Linked DNA regions of Tribolium castaneum. The protein of the gene in region 1 interacts with the protein of each later gene in a biochemical or structural test. Links are inferred from orthologs where the notes say so. Each region holds a gene or a part of one and is shown on either strand. Other genes may lie near its edges. The genes, in order: Dys and Dg.

Evidence for each region.
Region 2: the proteins of Dys (region 1) and Dg form a complex in vitro, tested with the Drosophila melanogaster proteins (2 studies listed by BioGRID). The link is inferred for Tribolium castaneum from reciprocal best matches to the Drosophila melanogaster genes Dys and Dg.

What each region holds. Positions count from the first base shown.
Region 1 is NC_087398.1:6,146,126-6,150,652, reverse strand, and holds the start of Dys (dystrophin), read right to left. Parts: upstream 2,911-4,527; 5' UTR 2,570-2,910; coding exon 2,318-2,569; intron 2,276-2,317; coding exon 1,580-2,275; intron 1,529-1,579; coding exon 1,216-1,528; intron 371-1,215; coding exon 1-370. Other genes in the region: solute carrier family 35 member E2A, read left to right, coding at 3,344-3,563, 3,610-3,745, 3,800-3,915, 3,960-4,146, 4,192-4,392, 4,442-4,527.
Region 2 is NC_087396.1:21,080,020-21,084,588, reverse strand, and holds the start of Dg (dystroglycan 1), read right to left. Parts: upstream 2,903-4,569; 5' UTR 2,745-2,902; intron 1-2,744.

The DNA.
Region 1 (4,527 bases):
TCGACTAGGGCGGGTTGTAGCGAAGCTGCAGTTGCATAAATCGCTCGTAACACCAAAATCATGTCGGCCACGTCGAGTAATTTATCGTTCTGGCCTCTCAAGCCGTGCAAGTCGAACGCTTCCGAAGCACCATTAATGCTGACTAAATCTAGACATAGTTTCTTCTGAATTGCTCGTAGTTTTAAAGCCGTTCGGTATGCGGAAAATCGCACTTCGTTGAGTTGTAAAAGAGAAGTGGCTAGTTCGAGCATTTGGGGGTGATCCCAATGGGTTGTCTCGGTGCTGTGGTTGATGTAATAGGGGACTTTGTTGGGGGTGGTGGAGCGCTCCCATGGCGGCTGGACGCTGGAGGGGCCTGGGGATATCTCCCCTGGAAAAATTTAATTTATTCGACTGAAAATGTCAAATCTTTTGCAACTAAGAAATTTTTTGATTTACTATAAAAAAGGTCTTCTTATGATTTACTAAAAAAATGAGACTGTTGTTATGTTTGTCTTTTACAAAGATTTAAATTTTTTGAAAAAATGTTCAATTTTCCACAGTCTATTGGAAGAAAACAAAAAACACAAAAATTTATAATTTTGTGCTACAATTGTGCACTAATATTATATTTTTATAAATAAAAATGTTTTACAACTGGCTTCAACATTAGTTTACAAAAATATATGTGGGGTTGTTGCAATTATCTCTATCTAAACATTTAAATTTGTCTCGTTTATTTCGAACGAAAGAAGATTCATTGTTATAAAACATAATTACTTAACTCACTGATAATATTTTCAGTGCCAGAGTTAATTCACCCAAAGGATCATTTAGATAACAGACGCGAATGTAGTAATTAGGTAATACATACTTAGAAAATATCTTCTCTTGAACATACCACTATTTTGATTACACTGACACTTTTTAATAAAACTTGACGTGTAGTTACGTCCCCGTGTACATTTGTTGTGTAAACAGATTAATTTATAACGCCCACAATATGATTTAACACCTTTACATCACACTAGTCATTGTTTTTTAAGTGTATCGAACAAAAAGTTGCATCTTGTATTGTCACACGTTTCAAATGTGAAAGTTTGTGTAGGTATTAGGACTTCTCGGCTATAAACTTAGACAAACATTTGAGGTCAACAACATTTTTAATTTACATACATGTGGGCAGATCAGACCCGTAAAGATTGAACACTTATTAATCAGAACGTTTCAACTCACCCTGAGTCGTGCTAGTCAGCTGTTCCCGCCTCTCCCTGATCGCCGCCTGGAGCGCCCTACACCTCGCACTGCAATCCTCAAGCTGTGTGGCCAGATTATTCGGCAAGGCATTCCCCAAGGAAGCCGCCTGAATCCTGGCTTCCTCCAACGAACGCTGCAATTGCGGCAGCTGCGTCTCTAAATTCCGCAAACTGGCCAAAAGTTCCCTAGCCTCGGCTGCACTCCGGGGGCCACTCCAGCTAAGCGTAGCGCGCTCTAGACGGGAGACAGCCGCGGACGCCTCTTCCAGATTCAAAGTCAGCTGTTTCAATTTCTAAACACCACAAATTAATAATTCAATTAGACTCATCATAATTACACTTACAATAGTGTTCTGTTCGAACCTCGCGGCCAACTGGTCCGATTTATCAATCAGAGCGTTCCATTTATCCGAGAGTTTGACCAATTCCCTCCGCAGGTTTCGGGCCAGTTCGCCGGAAGGGTCCCCCGCTACGAACTGTCTAGCGCTCCGCAAACTCGCCTCAACTAGAGGCCTCTTGTCTTCTAGCTGTTGGCGGAACGCTCGGTGGTCGTCCTGGCGGGCTGCTAGCCCCAGCTCTGTGTCTTTCCGTATCACCCATTCGGTCAATTCCCTTAAAGATAGAAGCAAAGCGTTCCAATAGTCGGCATTGTGTTCCAGCCGGTTTCTCAAATCGGAGGTTCGTGTCTTCAGGGCTTGCCACCGCCGCTCCATCTCATCGCCCTTCAATTGGAGCATTAGGGCGTCTTCGGGGGCCATGGTCCCCAGAAGGGCTAAATTGGACGAGCGAAGGGCGGCGTGAGCTGGGGCTTGTCGCTCCACATCAGCCTGTAATTCCTTCAACTGATGGGCGGCCCTGCGGGACTCCGCATCGCCCTCGAGCGTCTCCACCACGGACTCGGCTTCACTGAGCCACGCGAGGAATTTGTCAAGGGAGCGGTCTAGGTTCTGAAGGGAGCTCAAGGCTGAGTGCAGCAATTTCCCCCTGTTGATGACACAGGCGTCCAGACGAATGTAGTGCTGGTTGATGTACTCAGCTGTCTGAAATTTGGTTTAGTTGGGGTTGGTTAGGTCAGAGTGTACCTTTTTGTAGCGGCTGGTGTCTTCGTGTTGGTGCGCTGTGATCAGTCTTTGTGTGAGTTGGTTGAAAGCCTCGATCTGTGCTTTGAACTGGTGGAGTTCGGCGTGAAGTCCTTTTTGTTCCCTGAGCTGGACTTCGAGGACGTCGGCGGTGTGGCCCACGGCCGCCATGGAGGCAAGGCGGGCCTCCATCCGCTGCAGCCATGCCTCAAGCTCCAGCCTTTTGTGCTCGAAGCTTTCTTCCTTCTTCTGCATCGTGGCCAATGTCACAATGTGGGGGCAAATTGACTGGAAGAGGCCATTTCTTCGGCCTCTTCACACAGATCAATGTTTACAACGGCGAGGGTTGATGACCGCGCACCTGTTTCCCTGTCATAACACTCCCTGACACGCTTTAAGAAATAATCAATACGTTACTGCTGGAGCTGTTTCAGGAGGAATTTGATTCATTTATTTGTTTGTGGCGAGAATGTCACTCTGACAATTTGTGAGCAGCGTTGCAAGACTTTTGCCTGGCTTTTAGGGCCCAAATCAAATCATCACGAAAAACGGGCCCAAAAGACAAGTTTTCCCTCCAAAAAACAGACTGAACGGTGTAATTCGACCCTTGGTGTATTGAAAAATGGTCAATAACATTGAAAAGGGGGCGGAAAGAGGCTCGAGTCACTTTTCAAAATTTTCCTTTATTGTATTATTTTCGGTAAAGCGAGTCTATTCGCTCTTTTTTGCTGTTTTAGGTACACAAAAGTGCACCTAGAATAAATAAAAGTGATAAATTGAGTGTGTTTATTATACTTGGCAACCCAGCACCACCCCAGTCATCTGTTCCTGACACTAGTGACAGTACATGGGTTTGGAGGTTAAGTTCAAATCATCAGTGTTCTGCTTTTTGTGAACTGACGTGTAAAGTGAATGTTTTCAAACAATGAATTAACAATTGCTTGGCCTTTGTGCAAAAAATTGACTTAGATAAACTGCAACTCCGCACCTGTGTGACAGCAATGATCTTTAGATAAGTTTGTTCAGAAGATGGATAAAGCTCAAATCACGTTAAACTCGAATGATGTGAAACAGGAGAACAATGTAGTCGCCAAAAAGGAGAAACTGCCTGATGTGGACACCCACAAAGCCGGACTTGCTAATTTCAGAGCGATACTTTTCCTGCTTTTGTGGTACTTTTTCAGTGGTTGCACTTTGTTTTTAAATAAGTATATTTTGACGTTCCTGAATGGAAACCCCACTGTCTTAGGTAAGGCTTGTGGCAGAGTTACATTTATTGTAATCATTGTTATCAGGAGCATGTCAGATGCTGATGACGGCCACTTGTGGCTTTGTGCAATTGTACTTCCCTTGTGGGATGTATAAACCGTCCCAAAGGTTGAGCAAACCACCTGGGTTTTACAGGCATATGGTTTTGGTTGGGTGCACAAGGTGGGTCCCTGATTTTAATCAGAAGACAATAAATAATTTGGTTTTAATTTTTAGATTTCTCACTGTGGTTTTGGGTTTGGTAGCTCTAAATTACGTGGCAGTGAGTTTTACTGAAACAATCAAAAGTTCGGCACCTTTATTTACAGTATTGATATCTAGGTTTCTTCTAGGTATGTGAGCTAGGTAACAATTTTTTTCTGTATTGTTGTTTTAGGCGAGCAAACGGGGCTCTATGTGAATCTGAGTCTGTTGCCTGTGATGTCTGGATTAGCCCTGTGTTCAATTAATGAGATTAGTTTTGAAATTCGTGGCTTTATAGCTGCAATGGCCACAAACTTGACTGAATGTATACAAAATGTGTATTCAAAAATGTTAATATCGGGAGATAAGTTCAAATACACGTAAGAAAATATTACTTAAAAACCTGGACTTAAATCGAATTTTAGACCTGCAGAGCTTCAATTTTACACCAGCATCGCAAGTGTAGTTATCCAAGTTCCAGCCACATTGTTTTTAGTAGATTTCACCCACAGCAAGCCGATTGACTTGAACATAATTTTTTGTTTCATGTTGAATGGTGTTTTTTTCCACTTTCAGAGCATAACAGCGTACGTTTTAATGGACTATATTAGTCCGGTGACCCACAGGTGATTTCCAAACTATTTCTTGTTGTAAAATTTAATCAAGTGTCTGTAGTGTGGCAAACACAGCAAAAAGGGCTCTTTTAATCTGGCTGTCTGTCGTCATGTTTGGAAACCAAGTTACAGTATTGAGTGCTGTAG
Region 2 (4,569 bases), on another chromosome or scaffold:
TCGAAAAAAATCGGAAAAGTTAATTTGTGGCAAAAATTGCGCAGTGTTGACTTGTGCGTGCTGCATCTGGCCTTATTTGCGCCCATATGGTCCAAACCGGTCTTATTTAGCTGGCTCTTTTCTCATTCAAATTTCTTCGACAAGAGTTAAATATTTGCGCGTCCTTTCATATATCAACGTAATATCGTAGATTTCCTCTATGTAGGAATATTTGGGTCGGCCCTTTTGAAGCGACGCTTTGAAGTTAACGACCCACTTTAAGCTTCCGCGTTCACGCCCAAATAAAGCGGGGACTAACACGAATTTTCCAAATATTGTGATAAGTGGGGTCAGCCAGGTTACTATTTCATTCAATGAGCGATAATTCGGTCATTAATAAAAATCTAAGGACGTGACGACCGACATGAGGGAAATGTGATGGAAATCTTAACTAAATGTGGATTACTCGAGAGATATGCGAGGTTTAACATCACTTACAAACAACAAAGCTTTATCACTTAGTTCGTGAAACCACGACTGTAATGAAGCCTTGTTGAGTCTCCTTAAAACAATTCATATGCGGAGTGTTCTAACTTGTCTGTGTTTTTTTATACTTGGTTGGCAACAAATAAAGTGTCATTAAATTAGCAACCTTGGGTTATTTATAAGTTCAATGCAAATGCGTTTATTACACTTTTTAATCAAACAGGAGCGTTATCTTTCAAACAAGCGATCTGAAAATAGCAATGTGTTTCAAAAATTACAAATTTTTATTTCGATCGCGTGAAAAGCCGCCCAAGCACGCACAGTTGCGATTACAACATTCCGGCGTCGTTATTTCAATCGTTGGTGCAATTTTTCATTTCGCTGCAAATGTAATTTCGAAAAATACTTTCATCTCGTTCGACAGCTGTTTGCATTCATCAGTGTTTGAAATGTCCTCGTATTTACCCTAAAACAAATCAATATTTCCCAACTTCTCGTTTGCTTTCTTTATCAATTCACGACGAAAATTACATTAGGAAAGTTCGAACGAGAAAATTCTCTCAAGACACTTTTGTTCTTCCGCTTAACGCGAATATATCACAACACGGGGAACATTCTGCGGTTAAAATTACGATTTCAGTTGGCAGTACTTGTTTCCGGGTTGCTATTTTCGATATCTCTGGAATAACAGCGCTTTAATTATCGCTGCAAGGTGATAAAGGCGAAAATCCGGGTTGAAAGTGCGAGTTGATGCATTTTTTTAATTAAAAACGCAAAAATACCACTACCAGTTTGCGAAAAGTTAGAAAAAAAAACAAGAAAGTTTAAGAGATAACAAAACCTAAAGATTAGGGGAGATTCAAGAACAAGTAGAAAAGGAACTTTCGTTTTACACATTTAAGGATAAGACACCACTCACACTAGTGAATGAAAGAGTGAAAAATTGTGTCGATCATAAATTAGCGTCAGGAGTGGAAAACCCGAAGGATTAGATTTTTCTTATCCAGGAGCATCGTGGGTTGAAAGTTGTTTGGAAGAGCGATATTTTCGCACAAAGAAACTAATAGTTTATGTGCTTAGTTATTACCTTTAATAAAGATCGGGTTATGGGTTATGAACATGAGATGCCCACTCGCAGCATCTCCGGCCGTAAAAGAGGCAAATCAAAGTGTTTTGTAGCGGTAATGGGGCTATAAAGGGGCCGAGATTTATGCAAGAGATAGTGCATACGGTATTTTTGCTAAAACTGGTGATTTGTCATAAAATATTGGTATTCAAGACGGACGAAGGCCAAGGAGCGACCCTTAAAAGGCATGCGACGAAATTAATTTCAAATTTCAATCAAGGAGCTTTGCGGTCGTAATAATTTTAGACTCGGCGGCTTCAAAGAAGTGATGTAACGCTGGATAATCAAAATCAAAATAAAACGAATTTGTTTGGATTGATAAATTTATTTACTCCGATTTGAGCTTATTTTTAAATTTATAGTTTTGACGTAAATCTGACGATAAACAATGACTCCGTCTCGAATTACATTCGCGGTAAAGTTTCCTAATTCCGAGCTCTTTTTAATTTTCTTTTCCATTCGAAATTCTCCCTTTGAAGTGTTTGATACAAAACTCGGGGCTTTTCATTAATTATTATTATCTTTTTCCTTTTTGTTTGTTTGGTGATTTCCTTTACAAATTACTCACGGAATAATTTGATTCCATTCGGATTAATTATTTCATTAGCCATCAATCCGAATTAATGTTTTATTGAACGATATGGAGCGCTCTCATTGCCAGATTAATAATTTGGAATTATCAGTCATGAAAATGCAGCTAGTTATTATGATTGCTTTCGCAGCCGAGTGTTAAACCGTCGACTTGTGCAACTTTTGTAAGCAAATACCATCGACACATATTTGCCTTTATTTGATTTTCGGAGCCTTGAAGCGCTCTTTGTGTCTAAATATGGCCATAATATCCTCTCATGTTCAATTAAGTTAACTCATATGCATCGTATCTTTAATCGCTGCTCATTTATTTGACTCATGTCGCGTCAAGAATTCCAAAACAAGCCATTAAAACAAATGGAGCTTTTTCCGTTTCTTAAAATAACAAATGGGCGCTTTTACTCGAGGGGAAACACAAAGCTTGCTGTATTGTACCCCGTTTCGGGCTTTATGCGCCCCCTTCAGCGAGAAACCGGCTCGGGATCGGGTCGCACATGTGAGCTTTTCATGGAATTTCTAACAGAAAGTGAGGGTTTAGAGGGATTAAAGGTGGATTTTTCACCTCTTGGATGGTCGATGAGGAGTAGTGAAGTGGCTAACCCTTTGCTGATGATGGCACAAACACTACACTAGAAGCGCGTTCACTACCCTTTCATCTCGTACTATGCTCGTGGACTGTCAGTTTTCAGATGCACAACTGCCCATTTGCCCCTCCTAACAGCTGGTCTTTCGATCTGTGGTGTGAGTGAGGAGGTGCTACGGCGACATCTGGTAGAGAATAGAGAATGGAAGTGATTACGTAACTGGGAATTCTGTAGAAAGAGAAGAAAGAGTACAGATTTCGGTCTGTGGTTAAGGGTGGGTTGCTCTAGCTGGTGGGGGTTGTAAGTGAGGAGGGTTGCGAGTTTGGGGTGGAAAATGTTCTGTAAAAAATGTTGATTATGCACAAGAGATGGCTCTGGAGACTGAATCTGTGGTATCTTGTGTAGGTTTTTATCAAGATTTTTGGAAAATAATTACAGTGGAACCCCTGTAACACGCAAGGAATTTATATTATGATGTTTTCTATATGATTCCATATAAAGCTGATGCTAAATGGTCTCATTTTTGCAATTATCTATCTAAATCCTTATTTGTTCTTCGTCTTTGTTTCGTAATAGATGTACTTCTTTATGCTTTTGCTATTTTTTCATATTTTTCGCCTTCTCCATTAAATTTCTGTATTTTTACGTTTTTGAAATTTAGGATTCTCTTCTTCAGTAGGTAAATACGTACGTTTTCTATTTTGTAATGTCTTATTTTTGCTTGATTTTAATATCTTTATTGATATTTTTTTTTATTGTGTACTAGCTCCTCACTTTTCTTATGTACATTATTGGCCTTATAATTCTTGTCTCCTTTATTATTTCAACAAAATTTTGTTATCTTTGTCTTTGTTATGTATCATAATTTTTTAGTTCAGCATTTTACTTATTCAATAAATTTGTTTATTAATCTATTTTTTATTGTATCGGTTGTTTAAAAAAAAACAATCTTGTTTACCTAAGTCCCCTAATATCTAGTAGATTGCTTTGAATTTTCCGTCTGCTATTTCTTAAAAACCACTAAAAGTCTCAACGCGTTCTGGAAATATAACTACAGTAGAACCTCTAGCAGTTGAATTACCTGTTACCACAAAAAATTCAAAATATCGAAATTTCTACGTATTTCTTTATATTCTCATATCCTTTTGTTTGACAATTATAAAATAAACAAACTAATTTAAATTCACAAAATATAAATTTGCAGTATATTACATGTTTAAGTTAGTCTTTCTTCTTGAAAATTTTGTAAAATATATTGTAAAAAGACAGACATATGCTTGATATCTTGTATTAATAACCTCTAAAAAATAAAAAAAAATCATTTCAAATCAGGTCTTTCTCGGAATAAAATAGTTAAGTAATGTGGTCCAGATAATGATAAAAATGACATTGTTTTACCTTTTTTTATCATTTTCAGCACGTCTTTGACTAAAAAACTCTTATTTTTGCCGAATTTTATCATAAATCTCCTAAAAAATCACCAAATTTATGTATTTTTTTTCAAAAATAATTGAACTATACTACCATTGTATGATAGAGATTCGATTTAAATAGTTTCCACTGTATATCTCAAAGAATAATAGTCGCACAAAAACTAGCGTTTGCCATTAAAGAGTTTATTTTTCTCGATGTATGTAATTTTGTTCCAAAAAGGCATATGACATATGACTTAAAAATATTAAAACTACGAGTATAAGCTAGGTAGAAAAACTCTGAAAAAAATCAGGTGTGTAGAGACAAGTATACAGTATTTACTAGCAAACGCTGAATTCTGTATGTTTATTAGTTTTTGAGATATTATGG